Linked DNA regions of Anolis sagrei. The protein of the gene in region 1 interacts with the protein of each later gene in a pairwise test. Links are inferred from orthologs where the notes say so. Each region holds a gene or a part of one and is shown on either strand. Other genes may lie near its edges.

Region 1 (11,648 bases):
ACACAAAGAATAAATCAATAAATCATAGAATTGGGACCCCAAGGGGGAAGGGAGACACCAGTCAAGCCCTCCCGACAGATGCCTATTCCCAAAGAAGCAAAGAATAAATCAATAAATCACCGTATTGGAAGAGAGACACCAGCCAAGCCCTCCCGACAGATGGCCATCCCCAAAAACACAAAGAATAAATCAATAAATCACAGTATTGGAAGGGAGACACCAGCCAAGCCCTCCCGACAGATGGCCATCCCCAAAGACACAAAGAATAAATCAATAAATCACAGTATTGGAAGGGAGACACCAGTCAAGCCCTCCCGACAGATGGCCATCCCCAAAGACGAAAAGAATAAATCAATAAATCACAGAATTGGAAGGGAGACACCAGCCAAACCCTCCTGACAGAGGATTACCCTGAAGACATAACGAAGATGTTAGCCAGTTCTTGAGCCTCACCCGGATTGTCCTTGTCGACGTCAGAGTTGAGTTCCTGGCAGGCGACGCAGTAGAGTTTCTTCTGCTTGTCTTGCAGCAAAATAGTCTGGAAGGGAAAATGTCGCAAAGGAGAGCCAAGGAAAGAAAGAGTTAGAGCTGGGAAATAAAGAACGCAACGCCTGCAAAAATCAGGACGGAAAAGAGGGGGAAAGGCCAAAGAGCTCTTACTTGCTTGGGAAGGTAAAAGAACATTCTGGACATGCTCAGCCCCCCCCCCCTTGTACCAAAAGGATCTGGCACTCTTTACATGTTCAGAGGCCCCTTTTGCAAGAAAAAGTCATGGAATTCTTTACACACAATATAATATAATATATTGTATATACATATAACATCTGTAATATAATGTAATGCAATATAAAACTAATAATAATACAGTATTATAATTATATATTTTATATTACATGCAATATTACTTATAATATTACAATATAATAGTATAGTACAATATAGTAATATATAGTACTGATATTGTGCTATGCTAATAATATAATCTATTGTATGTATAGATATCTTGTAAGCCGCTCTGAGAAGGGTGACATATAAATGTCATAAACACAGTATTGTAAAATAAATAAACACATGCTCAGAGGCCCACACTTGGAGCAATAAGGTCTTGGAACTTTTTACATGCTCAGAGGCACTCTTTGCAGCACTCTGGACATGCTCAAAGGCTCCATTTGCAGCAAAAGCTCATAGCACTCTTTACATGCTCAGAGGACCCTTTTCTGCAAATGGGCCTGCCACTCTGTCATACTCAGAGGCCCCTTTTGCAGCAAGTAGTCATGGAACTCTTGATATCCTCATAGGACACGTTTGCAGTGAAAGGGCTCGGCACTCTTTACATGCTCAGAGGCCCACATTTGGAGCAAAATGTCATGGAACCTTTTACATGCTCAGAGACCCCTTTTGCAGCAAGAGAGCCTGGCACTCTGGACATGCTCAAATGCTCCTTTTGCAGCAAAAGCTCATGACACTGGGTTGTTGTAGGTTTTCGGGGTATAGGGCCATGTTCTAGAAGCATTCTCTCCTGATGTTTCGCCTGGATCTATAGCAAGCATCCTGAGAGGCTGTGAGGCCTGGCACTCTTTGCATGCTCAGAGGCCCTCTTTGCAGCAAAAGTCTGGGACTCTGGACTTGCTCAAAGGCTCCCTTTGCAGCAACAGGACATGGCACTCTTTGCATGCTCAGAGGACCCTTTCCTACAAATGGGACTGCCACTCTGTCATGGAACTCTTTACATCCTCATAGGACACGGTTGTAGTGGAAGGGCTCAGCACTCTTTACATATTCAGAGGCCCACGTTTGGAGCAAAATGTCATGGAACTTTTTACATGCTCAGAGGCCCCTGTTGCTGCAAAAGGGCCTGCCACTATGATATACTCAGAGGCCCCCTTTGCAATAAAAGGTAACTGAATACTTTACATGCTCAGAGGCTCTCTTTGCAACAAGTCTGGCACTCTGGACATGCTCAAAGGCTCCTTTTGCAGCAACAGAGCATGGCACTCTTTACATGCTCAGAGGCCCTCTTTGCAGCAAAAAGTCATGGAACTCTTTACATCCTCATAGGGCAGGTTTGCAGCGAAAGGGCTCGGCACTCTTTATATGCTCAGAGGCCCATATTTGGAGCAAAAGTTTGTTGAACTTCTTACATGCTCAGGGGCCACATTTGGAGCAAAAGGGCCTGGCACTCTTTGCATGCTCAGAGGTCCACATTTGGAGCAAAAGCCTGTTGAACTTCTTACATGCTCAGGGGCCCCTTTTGCAGCAAGAAGGCCTGGCACTCTGGACATGCTCAGAGGCTCCTTTTGCAGCAACAGAGCATGGCACTCTTTACATGCTCAGAGGCCCACATTTGGAGCAAAAGATTGTTGAACTTTTTACATGCTCAGGGGCCACTTCTGCAGCAAGAAGGCCTGGCACTCTGGACATGCTCAAAGGCCCCTTTTGCAATGAAAGGGCTCGGCACTCTTTGCATGCTCAGAGGCCCACATTTGGAGCAAAATGTCATGGTAACTCTTTACATGCTCAGAAGCCTTCTCTGCAGCAAAAATCTGACACTCTGGACATGCTCAAAGGCCCTTTTTGCAGTGAGAAGACTTGTCACTCTTTACATTCTCAGAGGCCCACATTTGGAGCGAAAGGGCATGGCACTCTTTACATGCTCAGAGGCCCCCTTTGTACCAAAAGGATCTAGCACTCTTTACATGTTCAGAGGCCCCTTTGATGCAAAGGGGCCTGCCACTCTAATATGCTCAGGATGTAAAGGTAATTGAATTCTTTACTTGCTCAGAAGTTCTCCTTGCAGCACGTCTGGCACTCTGGGCATGCTCAAAGGCTTCTTTTGCAGCAACAGAGCATGGCACTCTTTACATGTTCAGAGGGCCCTTTGCAGCAAAAAGTCATGGAACTCTTTACATCCTCATAGGACATGTTTGCAGCGAAAGGGCTCGGCACTCTTTACATGCTCAGGGGCCACTTTTGCAGCAAGAAGGCCTGGCACTCTGGACATGCTCAAAGGCCCTTTTTGCAGTGAGACTTGTCACTCTGGACATGCTCAGAGGCCCACATTTGGAGCAAAAGATTGTGGAACTTCTTACATGCTCAGGGGCCATTTCTGCAGCAAGAAGGCCTGGCACTCTGGACATGCTCAGAGGCCCTTTTTTGCAGCGAGAAGACTTGTCACTCTTTACATGTTCAGAAGCCCACATTTGGAGCAAAATGTCATGGAACTTCTTACATGCTCAGAGACGCCTTTTGCAGCAAGAGGACCTGGCACTCTGGACATGCCCAGAGACCCTTTTTGCAGCAGGAAGACTTGTCACTCTTTACATGCTCAGAGGCCCACATTTGGAGCACAATGTCATGGAACTTCTTACATGCTCAGAGGCCTTTTTTGCAGCAAGAGGACCTGGCACTCTGGACATGCTCAGAGGCCCTTTTTGCAGCAGGAATACTTGTCACTCTTTACATGCTCAGAGGTCCACATTTGGAGCACAATGTCATGGAACTTCTTACATGCTCAGAGGCCTTTTTTGCAGCAAGAGGACCTGGCACTCTGGACATGCTCAGAGGCCCTTTTTGCAGCAGGAATACTTGTCACTCTTTACATGCTCAGAGGCCCACATTTGGAGCAAAAGATTGTGGAACATCTTACATGCTCAGAGGCTCCTTTTGCAGCAAGAGGACCTGGCACTCTGGACATGCTCAGAGGCCTCTTTTGCAGCAACAGAGCATGGCACTCTTGACATGCTCAGAGGCCCTTTTTGCAGCAGGAATACTTGTCACTCTTTACATGCTCAGAGGCCCACAATTGAAAGGCCCTGGCCCTCTTTGTATCCTCAGAGGAGCCCATTGCCCTGTGTTCGGCTCTCACCCCGCACTCCTCGCAGCACTCGCCCAGCATGCGGTAGCCCTTCAGGAGGTAGTCGCCCATCAGCTTGCTGATCTTGTCCTGCCGCTCCCGCCGGGCCTGGATCACCTTCAGCTCCGCCTCCGAGGGAGGCTCCCACTCCGCGTCGTCGTTGCCTGCGGGAGAAGCCATGGTTCATGGGCGGAAGGAAGGCCCTCCCTAGCCTCCTCACCACTTCCAAGCTGGCTCGCCAGGCCGGAGTAGGCCCCGTTGCCATGGTTACTCCTCTCTCCCTCTCACTTACCCGCCGCGTTGAGCGCCATGATGTTTCGCCCAGGCTGGACCACCCGCTTCCGGCTTAAGCCACGCCTCTTCCGCTGTCGTCACCTCATTGCCGGGCAAGGCTTTTTTATGTGGAGGTAGGTGCGACTCCTTAATCGTCCCCACCGGAAACCTCACCGCGAACATAAAGGTTCCGCTTGAATTTCGTTCCTATGCTCTAAATCAGCCCCATTGACCCCGAGAGCGGCGGAGGCTCCCGCCTTCAAATTGGTGTGAACCGCAGCGGAGAGTTCCGCAGTTCCTGGAGCCAAGTTTGGGACCAACTGATGAAATGTGCCCGGTGGCGCAGTGGGTTAAAGCGCTGAGCTGCTGAGCTTGTTGATCGAAAGGTCGCAGGTTCGATTCCGGGGAGCGGCGTGAGCTTCCGCTGTCAGCCCTAGCTTCTGCCAACCTAGCAGTTCGAAAACATGCAAATGTGAGTAGATCAATAGGTACCGCTCCGGCGGGAAGGTAACGGCGCTCCATGCAGTCATGCCGGCCACATGACCTTGGAGGTGTCTATGGACAACGCCGGCTCTTCGGCTTAGAAATGGAGATGAGCACCACATCCCAGAGTCAGACATGACTGGACTTAATGTCAGGGGACTACCTTTACCTTTTTATTGTTATTATTGCTTGTATTGTTGTGTTTGGGTTCGGCCTCATGTAAGCCGCACCGAGTCCCTTGGGGAGATGGTAGCGGGGTATAAATAAAGTGTTATTATTATTATTATTTTATATATTATAAATAAATTACACACACACACATATATAATATGTCTATTATATTATAATTTCTAATAATTTATATCATATATAATATACATATAAAATATATACTGTATATAAGTTTGTTGTTCATTCGTTCAGTCGTCTCCGACTCTTCGTGACCTCATGGACCAGCCCACGCCAGAGCTCCCTGTCGGCCGTCACCACCCCCAGCTCCTTCAATGTATATAAGTACATTCTATTAATATTATATTAAATGTATGAGCCCCCGGTGGCGCAGTGGGTTAAACCCCTGTGCCGGCAGGACTGAAGACCGACAGGTCGCAAGTTCGAATCTGGAGAGAGGCGGATGAGCTCCCTCTATCAGCTCCAGCTCCTCATGCAGGGACATGAGAGAAGCCTCCCACAAGGATGATAAAAACATCAAATCATCTGGGTGTCCCCTGGGCAACGTCCTTGCCAATTCTCTCACACCAGGAGTCACTCCTGACACGAGATATATATGTATGTATATATATAAAATGTATAATTTGTTGTTCATTTGTTCAGTCGTTTCCGACTCTTCATGACTTCGTGGACCAGCCCACGCCAGAGCTCCCCGTCGGTCGTCACCACCCCCAGCTCCTTCAAGGTCTAAATGTATAATATTATAAATGTGGCTGTGCGACCAGGAGGTTCTTCCACTCCAGGGGTAATCAATATATCCCCCTAGCTCTGCAAGTCTTCAAAGCAAAGGCGATGTCACAACTTCTCTATGGAGCACCCATCTGGTTAACCCCCAATAACAGCGCCATGAGATCTTTTCATTCGAAATTCCTCCACAAACTATATGGTGCCCCCAACTGTGTCCCGTATGCAGTTCTTTGTCTTGAATCTGGGCAATATTCTATTGAGGCTACTATCTGGCTAATCGTCATTAAATTTTGGCTATCTATACACTATCAAAGTCCCAGAGACTCTCTGACTCAACTCACCTTGAGCGAACTCCACCACTCCAAATGGTGCTCAACTGTCCTAGCAAAGATCGGGGAATTGGGCTACGACAGCGATTTCCTGACCCTACTATCTTTTCCCGAGATTTTTACCCTCATCAAAAGGAGGCTGCTAGATAGGGACCACAACCAATTGTTGAGCTTGGCAAACAAATCCTGCTCACCTATTAACTTGGCAATTCCATACACACAGGGAAATCCAGCCTTCTACATCACAGAGCTCACCAACCCCTCTTACAGAAGAGCCTACATGCTGGCTAGATTTAACATCATGCCATCGCCGCTCCATAGAGGAAGACTCAATGGCCTCCCGAGCGACAAGAGGGTCTGCCTCTGCAGCACAGGACAGCTAGACCCCATACCGCATATTCTCCTGCACTGTCCACTCTACCAGGAGCTAAGATCCAGTCTGCTAACACAAGTTTTAGACTCACTGAAGAACCGCAGCAATTCTGACAAAGTGATTTTGCTTTTAAATTGCCAGGACTTTAGCTGCTGCCTTTCAGTGGCAAGATTCCTGAATGAAGTCTGCAAACTGAATGTGTAGCAAACGAGAAGCCCTTTTTTATTATGTGTACTATTTTTTATACTCTCTGCCATGTTATGCCAATAAAGGCTTATTGTATTGTATTGTTGTATAATATTATAAATAAAACATGTCTATTATATTATAAATTCTAATAATCTATATCATATATGGTATAAATATATATCATACCATATCATATATGGTATAAATACATATAAAATATATACTGTATTGATATTATGATTGTTGTTCACTCGTTCAGTTGTCTCTGACTCTTCGTGACCTCATGGACCAGTCCACGCCAGAGCTCCCTGTCGGCCGTCACCACCCCCAGCTCCTTCAAGGTCAGTCCAGTCACTTCAAGGATGCCATCCATCCATCCATCCATATTATGATATATATAACAAATTATATTTGCATTTTAATATATTATAAATAATATATAGAATATCATAATATAGAATAAGGAGCCCCCGGCGGCGCAGTGGGTTAAACCCCTGTGCCGGCAGGACTCAAGACCGACAGGTTGCAGGTTCGAATCCGGAGAGAGGCGGATGAGCTCCCTCTATCAGCTCCAGCTCCTCATGCGGGGACATGAGAGAAGCCTCCCACAAGGATGAAAAAACATCAAAATCATCCAGACGTCCCCTGGGCAACGTCCTTGCAGACGGTCAATTCTCTCACACCAGAAGCGACTTCTGACACCACAAAATAATAATAATAATAATAATAATAATAATAATATAGAATAATAAACAAACTTCAAAACCATTGTCATTATTGTCATTTTATTTTTATTGACAAAAATAGTTCAAGAGCACGGTTTCCATTAGAATGTTACAAAGAGAACCAGGACAGTAAAACCAAAGAAAATAATGTGGCAAAGTCAAGGAAGGGAAAGAAAATCATCAAAATAGACTGCTGGAAAGTGACAAAGCATGTCAAGAGGTTGGACTGGATGGCCTTTGGGGTCTTTTCCACCTCTAGTCGTGTACACAACTTTCTGATTTCCTTGGAAACAGCCCATTTTAGTTTGTTTTGTGTTATAAGATACTGAAACATGTTCATTTCCCAGAGATCTTAAAAAGAGGCTGCAAACAAATACGGGAGTGATATGACTTGGCTGTCAGCCCTAGCTTCTGTCAACCTAGCAGTTCGAAAACATGCAAATGTGAGTAGATCAATAGGTACCGCTCCGGCGGGAAGGTAACGGCGCTGCATGCAGTCATGCTGGCCACATGACCTTGGAGGTGTCTACGGACAACGCTGGCTCTTCGGCTTAGAAATGGAGATGAGCACCACACCCCAGAGTCAGACATGACTGGACTTAATGTCAGGGGACTACCTTTACCTTTACCTATGACTTGGCAGTCCCACCTACTTGCAAGGAAGGAATTGCGGTTGGCCAGACAGCCAAGACAACTGGCAGGCGTATTGGTCAATCACATTGCAGGAAAATGGGGAAAAAGGCGGAGCAACAAAGAAGAGGGAAGGAAGTGACTTGGTTTGTTGTCATTTCTGGTAAGACCATCCTGTATGACTCCCCACTCCCTTCTGGCAGGTGGGATGTCACCATCAAAACCCTCCCGACAAACGGCCATCCAGCCTCTGCTGACGGCATCTCTTTTCCTAAACTTTTGAGTCTCTTGCAGTGTCCTGGGCCTCAACTATTTCTCAAATCATAGAATCCTAGAGTTGGAAGAGACCTCCTGGGCCATCCAGTCCAACCCCATTCTGCCAAGAAGCAGGAAAATTGCATTCAAAGCACCCCCGACAGATGGCCATCCAGCCTCTGCTTCAAAGCCTCAACCACTCTCCAGGGCTGAGAGTTCCACTGCTGAACAGCTCTCACACTCAGGAAGTTCTTCCTAATGTTCAGATGGAATCTCCTTTCTTGGAGTTTGAAGCCATTGCTCCATTGTGTCCTAGTCTACAAGTTGCTCCCTCCTCCCTGTGGCTTCCTCTCACATATTTATACATGGCTATCATGTCCCCTCTCAGCCTTCTCTTCCTCAGGCTAAACATGCCCAGCTCTTTAAGCCGCTCCTCATAGGGCTTGTTCTCCAGATACTGGATCATTTGAGTCGCCCTCCTCTGGACACATTCCAGCTTGTCAATCTCTCTCTTGAATAGTGGTGCCCAGAATTGGACACAATATTCCAGGTGTGGTCGAACCAAGGCAGAATAGAGCATGGGGAGCATGACTTCCCTGGATCTAGACACTAGACTCCTATTGACGCAGGCCAAAATCCCATTGGCTTTTTTTGCCGGCGCATTACATTGTTGGCTCAACGTGGAATCAATCAGTCTGGCCTCTCTGTGGATAGTTCCTGGAGGCTTTGAAGGACGCCTGCTGCATCAACATGCTACCCCCATCCCCAACATACATACCTATATATGTATATATACACACACGGGTGCAGAACATTAAAACACTGAGCTGCACAACTTGGTGGGACTAGGTTGGTGGTTTGACTCTAGGGAGCGGGGTGAGCTTCCGCTGTTAGGCCCAGCTTCTGCCAATGTAGCAGTCCAAAAACATGCAAATATGAGTAGATGAATAGGTATTGCCTTGGCAGGAAGGTAATGGCACTCTAGATGCATCATAAGCGGGGTTCAATGTGTTCTCTGGCTGTAGGGTAAGCTACAACTCCCACAAAGGAAGGTCAGTTCCACCCAAACCCCTCTAGGAATCTAATTTTGGCATATGGTCCAGATCCATCGGTGATTTCTGGATGTAGGTAAACTACAACTCCCCCAAATCATGGCCACATGGATGTGAAGCAGAGGCTGGATGGCCAGCGGGGTGAGCTCCCACTGTTAGCCCCAGCTTCTGCCAACCTAGCAGTTTGAAAACATGCAAATGTGAGTAGATCAATAGGTACTGCTCAGGCAGGAATGGTGCTCCAAGCAGTCATGCTGGTCACATTACCCTGGAGGTGTCTATGGACAATGCCGGCTCTTCAAAGTAGAAATGGAGATGAGCACTAACCTTCAGAGTACTCCAGAGTAGGACACAACTGGACTTAATGTCAGGGGAAAACCTTTACCTTTTATACACATACATTATATATATATATATATATATATATAGAGAGAGAGAGAGAGAGAGAGAGAGAGAGAGAGGTTGCTTACCTGTAACCGTAGTTTCCTGAGTGGTCACCTGTGAATTTGCACATATGGTAGTTTCTGCGCCTACCATATGTGCGTATTCACAGTTGACCACGATGGGAATGCACACACATTATCCAAGGATATATATAAAAATATTATATTTGTATGCGTGTGTTGGGGGGGGGGTTGCATGATTGCCAACCTAGCAGTTTGAAAACATGCAAATGTGAGTAGATCAATAGGTACTGCTCAGGCAGGAATCGTGCTCCAAGCAGTCATGCTGGTCACATTACCCTGGAGGTGTCTATGGACAATGCCGGCTCTTCAAAATAGAAATGGAGATGAGCACCAACCTTCAGAGTACTCCAGAGTAGGACACAACTGGACTTAATGTCAGGGGAAAACCTTTACCTTTTATACACACACATTATATATATATATATATATATATATATATAGAGAGAGAGAGAGAGAGAGAGAGAGAGAGAGAGAGGTTGCTTACCTGTAACCGTAGTTTCCTGAGTGGTCACCTGTGAATTTGCACATATGGTAGTTTCTGCGCCTACCATATGTGCGTATTCACAGTTGACCACGATGGGAATGCACACACATTATCCAAGGATATATATAAAAATATTATATTTGTATGCGTGTGTTGGGGGGGGGGGGGTTGCATGATTACACTCACTCACAAGATAGAGAGGATGTGTATATAATATATTTGTATTATCCCAGGAAAGAAGGCAAAAGTGCTACAACCCTCTCCAGGGAGCCGATATCTTGAGAGTCCGCACTGGTTCACCCCTCCACATCTTTACCCCATCTGACATTCGAGTTGAAGAATAAAGTTGCCACGGTTACACAACCCCACCCCATTGTGTGTCCTGGGGGTTTTGGCGGATACAGGGTACACGTCTCTAGCCCGCTCTGAACCGAACATTGGTTTGAATGCTCCCTCAACTCTCTCTCAACCCACCTCAATACATTTTGCATGTTGCAATGAGCTCCTTGGAGGAAAGGTGGGATACAATGGAAATATATCATCAGGAATGGACTGGATGAGGGCCAAGAAGCTGAAACTAAATCCAGACAAGACAGAGGTACTCCTGGTCAGTCGTAAGGCGGATCAGGGTGAGGGGGTCGCACTCCCCCTGAAGACACGGGTACACAGTCTGGGGGTGATCCTGTGCACATTGGGGACCCTGGAACTCCAGGTGTACCTTGGGAGGTAAAACTTGAGACACCAGACTTGGCCATGGTAGACCATGCCTTTAGTCACATCCTGTTTGGACTACTGCAATGCTCTCTACATTGGGCTGCCTTTGAGGATAGTTTGGAAGCGATTAGTGCAGAGATTGGTGGCTAGACTGCGAACTGGAGTGCTGTATCGTGAGGACAACCCTCATGCTGGCTGACGGTCTATTTCCGAGCTAAATACAAAGTACAGGTCGTTACCTATAAAGCCCTAAACGGTTCGGGTCCAGGGTATTTGTATAATCGCATCTCCCTATGCCAGTGTTTCTCAACCAGGGGGTCGCAAAGGGGTGTCAGAGGGGTCGCCGAAGACCATCAGAAAGCACAGTCATGGGGGTTGGTCTTGGGGGTTCTGTGTGGGAAGTTTGGCCCAATTCTATCATTGGTGGAGTTCAGAACGCTCCTTGATTGTAGGTGAACTATAAATCCCAGTATCTACAACTCCCAAATGTCAAAGTCTATTTTCCCCAAACCCCATCAGTGTTCACATTTGGGCATATTGAGTATCCGTGCCAAGTTTGGTCCAGATCCATCATTGTTTGAGTCCACAGTGCTCACTGGACGTACGCAAACTACAACTCTCAAAGTCAATGCCCACCAAACCCTTCCAGTATTTTCTGTGGATCATGGGAGTTCTCTGTGCCAATTTTGGTTCGATTCCATTGTTGGTGGGGTTCAGAATTCTCTTTGTTTACATGCTAACTATAAATCCCAGCAACTACAACTCCCAAATGACAAAATCAATCCCCCCGCCAACTCCAGCAGTATTCAAATTTGGGCATACTGGGTATTTGTGCCAAATTTGCTCTAGTGAATGAAAATACATCCTGCAGATCATTATTTACATGGTGATTCATAATGTTAGGGT
Region 2 (11,518 bases), about 990 kb from region 1:
ACCAGATTTCTGGGAGTCGAAGGCCAAGACATCTGGGGACCCACAGGTTGATGAACCACTGCTCTATGGGAAACTGAGCCCTTGCCTTACTTATCTTAATATTTATGCTTGCAAAGAAAGTTTAACTTGAAGGACTCCACCGTCCTTCAAAAAAAAATGACACTTTGCTTGTGTAAAATCTTCCTGACTCACATCTTTATCTGTCACAAACATGTGTTGTTCCACTTGAGGAATCTGACATCCATATTAGGCCATTTCCTCTGCTCTTTCTCTCCTCCCACAAATCCATTCAAATCTCCCTCTGATTCTGCCTTTATGAATGGAAGGGAGGCACGACAAGAAAGAAGAATAGAACTTGAGGAAGAATAGAACAAAAACCCTTTTTGGATATGCAAAATCAAAACTTCCATTTAGCAAAAGGCATAGAAAGGGAAAACAACATACAAAACCTGTATTAATTCTGGAAAGCGCACCAGGTTATTTAATGATGTAGACAAGACGCCGGACAATAGAGAAGTGGAACAAAGACAACCGAAAATACACTGGACTATTTAATAAATGTAAATAAATATGAGCAGGGAAAGACGTAGGAAAACGTGTATTTTGTTTTGTGTATTTTAATATGTGTTTTATAGAAATACCAACCATTCCCTGCATCATGTCCCAATTTGTTGTAATTTTAGTTTTTTTAATATTGGTAGCCAGATTTTGTTCATTTTCATGGTTTCCTCCTTTCTGTTGAAATTTAAAATATTAAAAAACTCTAAAATTACAAGAGAGTAAACAATCAGGCACATCGAATCATCTCTCAACAAAAAATTGCTCCAGGCACTGCCAAGCCATCAAATGCTAATCAAGGTGGTCAGTTGAAACATACACACCTAGCTCCAGCAGACAAGAGTCCTTTGTCCCACCCCAGTCATTCCACAGATATATAAACCCATTTTCCTACTTCCAACAGACCTCACTACCTCTGAGGATGCTTGCCATAGATGCAGGCGAAACGTCAGGAGGGAATGCCTCTAGAACATGGCCATACAGCCCAGAAAAACCTACAACAACCCATACATCTAATCACCTCTCAACAAAAGATTTCCCCAGGCACTGCCGGGCCATCAAATGCTAATCAAGGTGGTCAGTTGAAACATTCACACCTAGCTCCAGCAGACAAGAGTCCTTTGTCCCACCCTGGTCATTCCACAGATATATAAACCCCTTTTTTTCCTAGTTCCAACAGACCTCACTACCTCTGAGGATGCTTGCCATAGATGCAGGCAAAACGTCAGGAGAGAATGCCTCTCTAGACCATGGCCATATAGCCCAGAAAAACCTACAACAACCCAGACATCTAATCACCTCTCAACAAAAGATTTCCCCAGGCACTGCCAGGCCACCAAATGCTAATCAATGTGGTTAGTTGAAACATTCACACCTAGCTCCAGCAGACAAGAGTCCTTTGTCCCACCCTGGCCATTCCACAGATATATAAACCCACTTTACTAGTTCCAACAGACCTCACGACCTCTGAGGATGCTTGCCATAGATGCAGGCGAAACGTCAGGAGAGAATGCCTCTGGAACATGGCCATATAGCCCGAAAAAACCTACAACAACCCAGTGATTCTGGCCATGAAAGCCTTCGACAAAACAAGCCTTCGATAATAATATATTATTATTTTTATTATTATCATAGCACAATATTATATATTACATTGTACTATAACATTATACTGTTGTTATTATTATTAGCAATATTACATTTAATATAAAAATATGATTATAATATCATTTTATTATTGTAGTAGTATATTGTGTCACACTATAATAGTATCAATATGACATGTATATTCAATATATTATTATATTTGAATCACCAGGAAAGGATTGGCAGTGCCTGGGGAAATCTTTTGTTAAGAGGTGATTAGATGTCTGGGTTGTTGTAGGTTTTTCCGGGCTGTATGGCCATGGTCTAGAGGCATTCTCTCCTGACCTTTCACCTACATCTATGGCAAGCATCCTCAGAGGTTGTGAGGTCTGTTGGAAGTAGGAAAAGGGGTTTATATATCTGTGGAATGACCAGGGTGGGACAAAGGACTCTTGTCTGCTGGAGCTAGGTGGGAATGTTTCAACTGACCACCTTGATTAGCATTTAATCATAGAATCATAGAATCAAAGAGTTGGAAGAGACCTCATGGGCCATCCAGTCCAACCCCATTCTGCCAAGAAGCAGGAATATTGCATTCAAATCACCCCTGACAGATGGCCATCCAGCCTCTGCTTAAAAGCTTCCAAAGAAGGAGCCTCCACCACACTCCGGGGCAGAGAGTTCCACTGCTGAACGGCTCTCACAGTCAGGAAGTTCTTCCTCATGTTCAGATGGAATCTCCTCTCTTGGAGTTTGAAGCCATTGTTCCTTGTCCTAATCTCCAGGGAAGCAGTAAACAAGCTTGCTCCCTCCTCCTCCCTGTGGCTTCCTCTCACATATTTATACATGGCTATCATCATATCTCCTCTCAGCCTTCTCTTCTTCAGGCTAAACATGCCCAGCTCCTTGAGCCGCTCCTCATAGGGCTTGTTCTCCAGACCTTTTATCATTTTAGTCGCTTAATGGCTTGGAAGTGCCTGGGGCAACCTTTTGTTGAGAGGTGATTAGATGTCTGGGTTGTTGTGGGTTTTTCCGGGTTGTATGGCCATGGTCTAGAGGCATTCTCCCCTGACGTTTCGCCTGCATCTATGGCAAGCATCCTCAGAGGTAGTGAGGTCTGTTGGAACTAGGAAAAAGGGTTTATATATTTGTGGAATGACCAGGGTGGGACAAAGGACTCTTGTCTGCTGGAGCTATGTGTTTCAACTGACCACCTTGATTAGCATTTAATGGCTTGGAAGTGCCTGGAGGAATCTTTTGTTGAGAGGTGATTCGATGTGCCTGATTGTTTACTCTCTGTTGTTTTGCTGTTGTAATTTTAGAGTTTTTTGTAATATTTTAAATTTCAACAGAAAGGAGGAAACCATGAAAATGAACAAAAGCTGGCTACAAATAATATAGTATATTGTGTGTGTGTGTGTATATATATAATATTTATAATATTATAATGTAATGCAATATAATACTAGTAATAATAATACAATATTATAATTATAATTATATGTTTACATTACATGTAACATTATTAATAATATTACAATATAATGGTATAGTGCAATCTATATAAATAAAAATGTAATGTTCATTTGTGGGATTAACAAATCTCAAAAACCACTGGATGAATTGACACCAAATTTGGACACAAGATACCTGCTATAACCCAATGTATGTCTTTCACTCAAAAAAAATGATTCTGTCATTTGGGAATTGTCGTTGCTGGGATTTATAGTTTACCTACAATCAAAGAGCATTCTGAACTCCACCAACGATGGAATTGGGCCAAACTTGGCACACAGTTCTCCCATGACCAAGAAAATACTGGAAGGGTTTGGTGGGCATTCACGTTGAGTTTGGGAGTTGTAGTTCACCTACATCCAGAGATCACTGTGGACTCGAACAATGATGGATCTGGACCAAACTGTACAAGAATACTCAATATGCCCAAATGTGAACACTGGTGGAGTTTGGGGAAAATAGAATCTTGAGATTTGGGAGTTGTAGTTGCTGGGATTTATAGTTCACTTACAATCAAAGAGCATTCTGAACTCCACCAACGATGGAATTGGGCCAAACTTAGCACACAGGGCTCCCATGGCCAACAGAAAAAACTGGAAGGGTTTGGGAATTATAGTTCACCCACAAATTAATTAGCATTTAATTGCTTGGAAGTGCCTGGGGGAATCTTTTGTTGAGAGGCGATTAGATGTGCCTGATTGTTTAGCCTTTGTTGTTTTGCTGTTGTAACACCTTCTCTCTCCTCAACTGCCCCCCAAAGCACCCAATCCTGCCTGATCTTGGCTGCTAAGCAGGGCCAGCCCTGGCGAGTATCTTGGGTGGGAGACTGACAAAGCAGAACTACAGATCTGGGCCATAATTTGGAGCAAGAATGGAGCAGAACAGAGCTTGAGGCCCTCCTGGGTGAGGAAACCCCGCCAGGCCCATTGGGAGGCCCCTGCCCGGCTTAAAGAGGCATTCACACGTGCAAAAGAAGACACGCGTCAGGGGAAAATAGCCCCCCGAGGGGGTTTTCTTCCCTCCTTCCTCCCTCCTCGGTTTCCCCGGACTTACTGAGCACCAGGACGGGGCGCTGGCCCAGCATCTTTTCCCTCACGTCGCCGCGGAACCTTCTGGAGGAAAGAAAGGAGGAGGGGACGGGAAAGCGCCGTTTCACCGCGCCCCGCGCAGCCTAACTCGCCCGCTGGGGCACTCCGCCAATCAGAGGCCTCTCTCTCCGGCTCTGCGCCAATAGGAAAACGCGTCTCCTCATAACGGCCACGCCTACTTCCCCAGCATGGTAGGTTGAGAGGGACAACGGGCCGCACGGTTGTGAAGAATGAAGGGAGGGGGAGTAATGCGCGTGCGCGGAGTCCTCTTCCACACATGCGCATGCGTTGAGGAGACGGGGAAGGAAAAACGCAAGGCTGCTAATGCGCCTGCGCAGAAGGGAAAGAGCTGCTAAGCCTACACTGAAGCGACAGGGCTGCTAATGCGCCTGCGCAGAAAGGAAAGGGCTGCTAAGTAGTATACACTGAAGCGAAAAGGCTGCTAATGCGCCTGCGCAGAAGGGAAAGAGCTGCTAAGCCTACACTGAAGCGACAGGGCTGCTAATGCGCCTGCGCAGAAGGGAAAGGGCTGCTAAGTAGCCTACACTGAAGCCAAAAGGCTGCTATTGCGCCTGCGCAGAAGGGAAAGGGCGGCTAAGTAGCTTAAGCAGAAACAAAAGATTTCTAATGCGGCTGCGCGTAAGAGAAAGAGTTGCTAATGCGCCTGCGCAGAAGGGAAAGCGCTGCTAAGTAGCTTACGCAGAAATGAAAAGGCTTCTAATGCGCTTGCGCAGAAGAGAAAGGGCGGCTAAGGTTTAAGCAGAAGCAAAAGAGTTGCTAATGCGCCTGCGCAGAAGGGAAAAGGCTGCTAAGTAGACTATGCAGGAGCTAAAGAGTTGCTAATACGCCTGCGCAGAAGGAAAAGAGTTCCTAATGCGCCTGCGCGGAAGGGAAATGGCTGCTAAATAGCCTACACGGAAGTGAAAAGGCTGCTAATGCGCCTGCGCAGAAGGGAAAGGACTGCTAAGTAGTTTAAGCGGCAACAAAAGGCTTATAATGCGCCTGCGCAGAAGAGAAAGAGTTGCTAATGCGCCTGCGCAGAAGGGAAAGAGTGGCTAGTTTTCGCAGAGAAAGGGCGGCTAATGCGCCTGCGCAGAAGGGAAAGCGTTGCTAATGCGCCTGCGCGGTTTTAGTCAGCGGTTGCTAGATGGAGCCTTCACGCCCTCCGGCCCGGCGTTCCCCCAGAGGCGAGTTTTTTGGGGGAGAAACCCCCCAGAGACAACATTTGGCACCCCATTGGCCAGATGGGATTTGTAGTCCTCCGTGTCTCCTGTCCGTTGGAGTCTCAATGGCGGCTGAGTCATGCCCAGGCCTAGGCCACGCCCCTTCCGCGCGGGGCATGATGGGAGCTGTAGTTTGCGGCCCTCCTGAGCCTGCTTTGGTTGAAGGGAGGCAGTTCCTAGCAGGCCTCTTGAACCCTGCCATTGAATCCAGGTTATCAGAGCACATCCTCCACATAATCTGCTCTGAACTGGGTTATGTGAGTCTGCACTGCCAGATAATCCAGTTCAGAGCAGATAATCTGGATTCCACACTGCCATGGAGTAAAATCCAGGTTTGAACTAGATTATATAGCTGTGTAGACCAGCTGTGAAGCCCCCGGTGGCACAGTGGGTTAGATTATAATAATAATATTAATAATAATAAAATAATAATAATAATAGCCTGAAGCCTTAGGGAGGAGCAGGTAAGAAATATAATAAGAAAATGGTAATAATAATAAATATCATTAATACTACTACTAATAGCCTGAAGCTTTAGGGAGGAGCAGGTAAGAAATATAATAATAATAATAAAGTAATATTATTAATACTACTACTACTAATAGTTTGAAGCCTTAGGGAGGAATAGGTAAGAAATATAATAATAATAAAGTAATATCATTAATACTGCTACTACTAATAGTTTGAAGCCTTAGGGGGGAGCAGGTAAGAAATATAATAATAATAGTAAGAATAATAATATTAGGAGCCCCCAGTGGAGCAGTGGGTTAAAGTGCTGACCTGCTGAACTTGCTGACTGAAAGGTTGATGATTCGAATCTGGGTTGCGGGGTGAGCTTCTGCTGTTAGCCCCAGCTTCTGCCAACCTAGTAGTTTGAAAGCATGCACATGTGAGTAGATCAATAGATATTGCTCCGACGGGAAGGTAACAGCGCTCCATGCAATCATGCTGGCCACATGACCTTGGAGGTGTCTACGGATAGTGCCAACTCTTCGGTTTAGAAATGGAGATGAGCACCAAAGTCGCATAGTCGGTCCCGACGGGACTTAATGTCAGGGGAAAACCTTTACCTAGACCAGGCATGGGCCAACTTGGGCACTTAAATTGTTATTGCAGAATATACAGACACAACCTGCCATGGATCCAGGCGAAACGTCAGGAGAGAATGCTTCTGGAACAGGGTCAGACAACCCGAAAAACTTACAACAACCCAAATATCACATAAATTATTATTAGTAAATATAGTTAAACAAATATCACAGATTTCAATTATTACAACCTATGACTCTTCAATGACTCAATGGCCTGACCCAGGCAGTTTGGACTATGACTTATCAGTACACATAATAAAAGTGAAAATATATATGTGACTGGGGTGCCCACTTACACAGACAAGCTCCTGCCTCCACAAAGAGCTATAGTTCCCACTACTCAGGAGACAACAAAAGCCCTCCCTCCAGTGACATTGCAGGTCATAGCGAGCACCATGAACATGTCCAAGAGCCCTGCCAATGTCCCCCACCAACACCAGACTGCCCACCACCCAAGGGAAGGCTTTCCTTCGGGGACAATTCCATCCTAGATTGTATGTGTTTCCTCCACCACAGACACCACAGTGTAAACATGTCCAAGAGCCCTGCCAATGTCCTCCACCAACACTGGACTGCCCACCACCCAAGGGAAGGCTTTCACACCGGGAAAATTCCATCCTAGATTGTATGTGTTTCCTCCACCAGAGACATCACAGTGTAAACAGGTCCAAGAGCCCTGCCAATGTCCTCCACCAACACCGGACTGCCCACCACCCAAGGGAAGGCTTTCATTCGGGGACGATTCCATCCTAGATTGTATGTGTTCCCTCCACCATAGACATCACAGTGTAAACAGGTCCAACAGCCCTGTCGATGTCCTCCACCAACACTGCCCACCACCCAAGGGAAGGCTTTCTTTCAGGGACATGTGTTTCCTCCACCAGATCCATTATTGTTTGAGTCCACAGTGCTCTCTGGATGTAGGTGAACTACAAATCCAAAACTCAAGGTCAAAGCCCACGAAACCCTTCCAGTATTTTCCGTTGCTCATGGGAGTTTTGTGTGCCAAGATTGGTTCAATTCTATCATTGATGGAGTTCAGAATGCTCTTTGATTTTAGGTGAACTATAAATCCCAGCAACTACAATCCCCAAATGTCAAGGTCTGTTTTCCCCCAAACTCCACCAGTGTTCACATTTGATCATATTGATTATTTGTGCCAAGTTTGGTCCAGATCTATCATCGTTTGAGTCTCTGGATGTAGGTGAACTACGACTCCCAAACTCAAGGTCAATGGCCACCAAACCCAGTATTTTTTGTTGGTCATGAGAGTTCTGTGTACCAAGCTTGGTTCAATTCTATCGTTAGTGGAGTTCAGAATGCTCTTTGATTTTAGGTGAACTATAAATCCCAGCAACTACAATCCCCAAATGAATACAAAGTTCAAGCTTAAATGGGAAGTTGGTTTGTGGTTAAGCGCAAAGTCTGCAGGTGCGAGAAGGTACTTTTCATCAAGAAGTTGATGGGACAGGAAGAGCAATGTATATTTATTTATTTATTTCACATATTTCTACCCCGCCCTTCTCAACCCCCGAGGGGGGACTCAGGGCGGCTTACAAAAGGCACAATTTGATGCCTACACAATAATACAGATAAACATATATAAACAACAATTAAAACAATTATAACAGTTAAAAACAATTATATTCACAATCAATAAAAAATCAATCTCATGCTCAACGTTCGCCAACTCAGAGTCCATAAATTAGTTCCACCTTGTCCATTCCTATCAGTCGTCATCGTCTTTTATTTATCTGCCGGATTGCCCAAACGCCTGGTCCCAAATCCACGTTTTTAGTTTCCTTCTAAAGGAAAGGAGGGTTGTCGATGATCTAATTTCCCCGGGGAGTGAATTCCACAGGTGAGGGGCCACCACCGAGAAGGTCCTGCTCCTCGTCCCCGACAGTCTCACTTGTGATAGAGGCGGGGCTGAGAGCAGGGCCTCACCAGAAGATCTTAAACTCCGAGTCGTAAAGGGAGATGCGTTCGGACAGATACACTGGGCCGGAACCGTATAGGGTTTTGTAGGTCAAAACCAGCACTTTGAATTGTGCTCGGAACTGGATTGGCAGCCAGTGGAGCTGACATAACAGAGGGATGGTATGCTCCCTGTATGATGCTCCGGTGAGTAATCTGGCTGCCTCCCGCTGGACTAATTGAAGTTTCTGAACAGTCTTCAAAAACAACCCCATGTAGAGTGCGTTGCAGTAATCTATTCGGGATGTAACAAGAGTGTGGACCACTGTGGCCAGATCCACTGTGTACCCTTTCCCTGTAGAAAAGGAGCAACACAAAAGAAAATGTTTTTAAAAAAACAGGAGGTGACATGTAGAGGTTATACAAAGTTCAAGCTTACATAGGAAGTTGGTTTGTGGTTAAGTGCAAAGTCTGCAGGTGTGAGAAGGTACTCTCCATCAAGAGGCTGATGGGACAGGAAGAGCAATATACCCCTTCCCTGTAGAAAAGGAGCAGCACGAAGGAAAATGTTTTAAAAAACAAGAGGTGACATGTAGAGGTCATACAAAGTTCAAGCTTACATAGGAAGTTGGTTTGTGGTTAAGCACAAAGTCTGCAGGTGTGAGAAGGTACTCTCCATCAAGAGGTTGATGGGACAGGAAGAGCAATGTACCCCTTCCCTGTAGAAAAGGAGCAGCACGATGGAAAATATTTTAAAAAAACAAGAGGTGACATGTACAGGTCATATAAAGTTCAAACTTAAATGGGAAGTTGGTTTGTGGTTAAGCGCAAAATCTGCATGTGTGAGAAGGAACTTTCCATCAAGAGGCTGATGGGACAGGAAGAGCAATATACCCCTTCCCTGTAGAAAAGGAGCAGCATGAAGGAAAATGTTTAAAAAAAACAAGAGGTGACATGTAGAGGTCGTACAAAGTTCAAGCTTACATAGGAAGTTGGTTTGTGGTTAAGTGCAAAGTCTGCAGGTGTGAGAAGGTACTCTCCATCAAGAGGTTGATGGGACAGGAAGAGCAATGTACCCCTTCCCTGTAGAAAAGGAGCAGCACGAAGGAAAATATTTTAAAAAAACAAGAGGTGACATGTAGAGGTTATACAAAGTTCAAGCTTACATAGGAAGTTGGTTTGTGGTTAAGTGCAAAGTCTGCAAGTGTGAGAAGGTACTTTCCATCAAGAGGTTGATGGGACAGGAAGAGCAATGTACCCCTTCCCTGTAGAAAAGGAACAGCATGAAGGAAAATGTTTTAAAAAACAAGAGGTGACATGTAGAGGTCATACAAAGTTCAAGCTTACATAGGAAGTTGGTTTGTGGTTAAGTGCAAAGTCTGCAGGTGTGAGAAGGTACTTTCCATCAAGAGGTTGATGGGATAGGAAGAGCAATGTACCCCTTCCCTGTAGAAAAGGAGCAGCACAAAAGAAAATGTTTTAAAAAACAAGAGGTGACATATAGAGGTCATACAAAGTTCAAGCTTACATAGGAAGTTGGTTTGTGGTTAAGCGCAAAGTCTGCAGGTACAAGAAGGTACTTTCCATCAAGAGGTTGATGGGACAGGAAGAGCAAAGGTCAAAGTACTTTCCATGACAAAAATATTCTTGTTTACATGATGGTATAAAGGTTTGCAAATAGCCAAGGAGGGGCGCAGCAGTCTGTGGGTGCACTTACAAAGGTGCTGTCTGTTCGCCTCATGCTGATCAGCTTGAATAAACGGTGTCTTACCTGAACCTATTGGACTCTGGATTTCTTAGAAAAGGGACCCCGCACCCTAAACCCGTGATCCCTTACAGTGTAGCTAAAAAGGCCAATGCGATGCTAGGTTGCATCCTTAGGAGGAGTGTTCTAATTTTTACTATTTATTTATCTCTGACAGTATGAAACCGGAAAGATCCCGGAAGACCGGCTTGACCCTAAATAAGAAACATAAGCCTCTCCCTCCGGTTCAAATCAAAGGGGAGTTGTTTTCCAGTCTTGGACCTTCTTCCATTTTTCCCTCCTTTAAGAAAAAGACATCCCTAAGGGATTCCTCTTCTTCCTCAATCCATATTCTCTTCTTTTTTCGTATCCTCCCTTTCTAGGGACTGAGTCGGGTCCCGTTCGGATGGAGCCGGAAGTCGACCCCCAAGATGAGAAACCGCACCGGAAAAGTAAGCCAGTTGCACTCTTGGCTGGAATCCACCTTTACGCTCAACTCACAAAGGAGTCCAAGAGCATTAATGAAAAAGTTTATTGAGAAAAGAAAATATAAAAAGGGAAAAACAATTCTGGGCACAACCATTGATGGGAGATACTGACAATCTATATAAATAAAAATGTAATGTTCGTTTGTGGGATTAACAGAACTCAAAAAACCACTGGACGAATTATATTAATAATAATAATATAATATAATATTATTAGTATTCTATTGTATTAAATTATAATATAAATATTATATGTATATACAATATTATAATATAAACCAGAGTCAGACATGACTGGACTTAATGTCAGGGGACTACCTTTACCTTTTTTAATGTGTATACAATATTATAATATAAATATATATGTTTTATATATGTAAAATATTATTAGCATAGTACAATATCAGTATTATATATTGCTATATTGTACTATACCAGTATTTCTCAACCTGGGGGTCAGGACCCCGGGGGGGTCACAAGGGGGTGTCAGTGGGGTCACCAAAGACCATAAGAAAATACAGTATTTTCTGTTGGTCATAGGGTTCTGTGTGGGAAGTTTGGCCCAATTCTATTGTTGGTGGGGTTCAGAATGCTCTTTCATGGTAGGTGAACGATACATCCCAGCAACTACAACTCCCAAATGTCAATGTCTCTTTTCCCAGTGTTCACATTTGGGCATAATGGGTATCCCTGCCAAGTTTCATCCAGATCCATCATTTTTTGAGTCCACAGTGCTCTCTGGATGTAGATGAACTACAACTCCAAAACCCAAGGTCAATGCTCACTAAACCCTTCCCGTATTTTCTTT

What was found.
Region 2: the proteins of ZNRD2 (region 1) and CCT3 interact in binary tests that used the Homo sapiens proteins (3 or more experiments, as listed by UniProt). The two-hybrid records come from large-scale screens. The link is inferred for Anolis sagrei from reciprocal best matches to the Homo sapiens genes ZNRD2 and CCT3.

Annotation. Positions count from the first base shown.
Region 1 is NC_090032.1:20,250,672-20,262,319, forward strand, and holds the start of ZNRD2 (protein ZNRD2), read right to left. Parts: upstream 4,254-11,648; 5' UTR 4,165-4,253; coding exon 4,146-4,164; intron 4,018-4,145; coding exon 3,866-4,017; intron 539-3,865; coding exon 454-538; intron 1-453. UniProt on the Homo sapiens protein: Might play a role in mitosis. Antigenic molecule. Could be a centromere-associated protein. May induce anti-centromere antibodies.
Region 2 is NC_090032.1:21,238,842-21,250,359, reverse strand, and holds the start of CCT3 (T-complex protein 1 subunit gamma), read right to left. Parts: upstream 4,345-11,518; 5' UTR 4,244-4,344; coding exon 4,213-4,243; intron 1-4,212. Other genes in the region: TSACC (TSSK6-activating co-chaperone protein), read left to right, coding at 10,629-10,674. UniProt on the Homo sapiens protein: Component of the chaperonin-containing T-complex (TRiC), a molecular chaperone complex that assists the folding of actin, tubulin and other proteins upon ATP hydrolysis.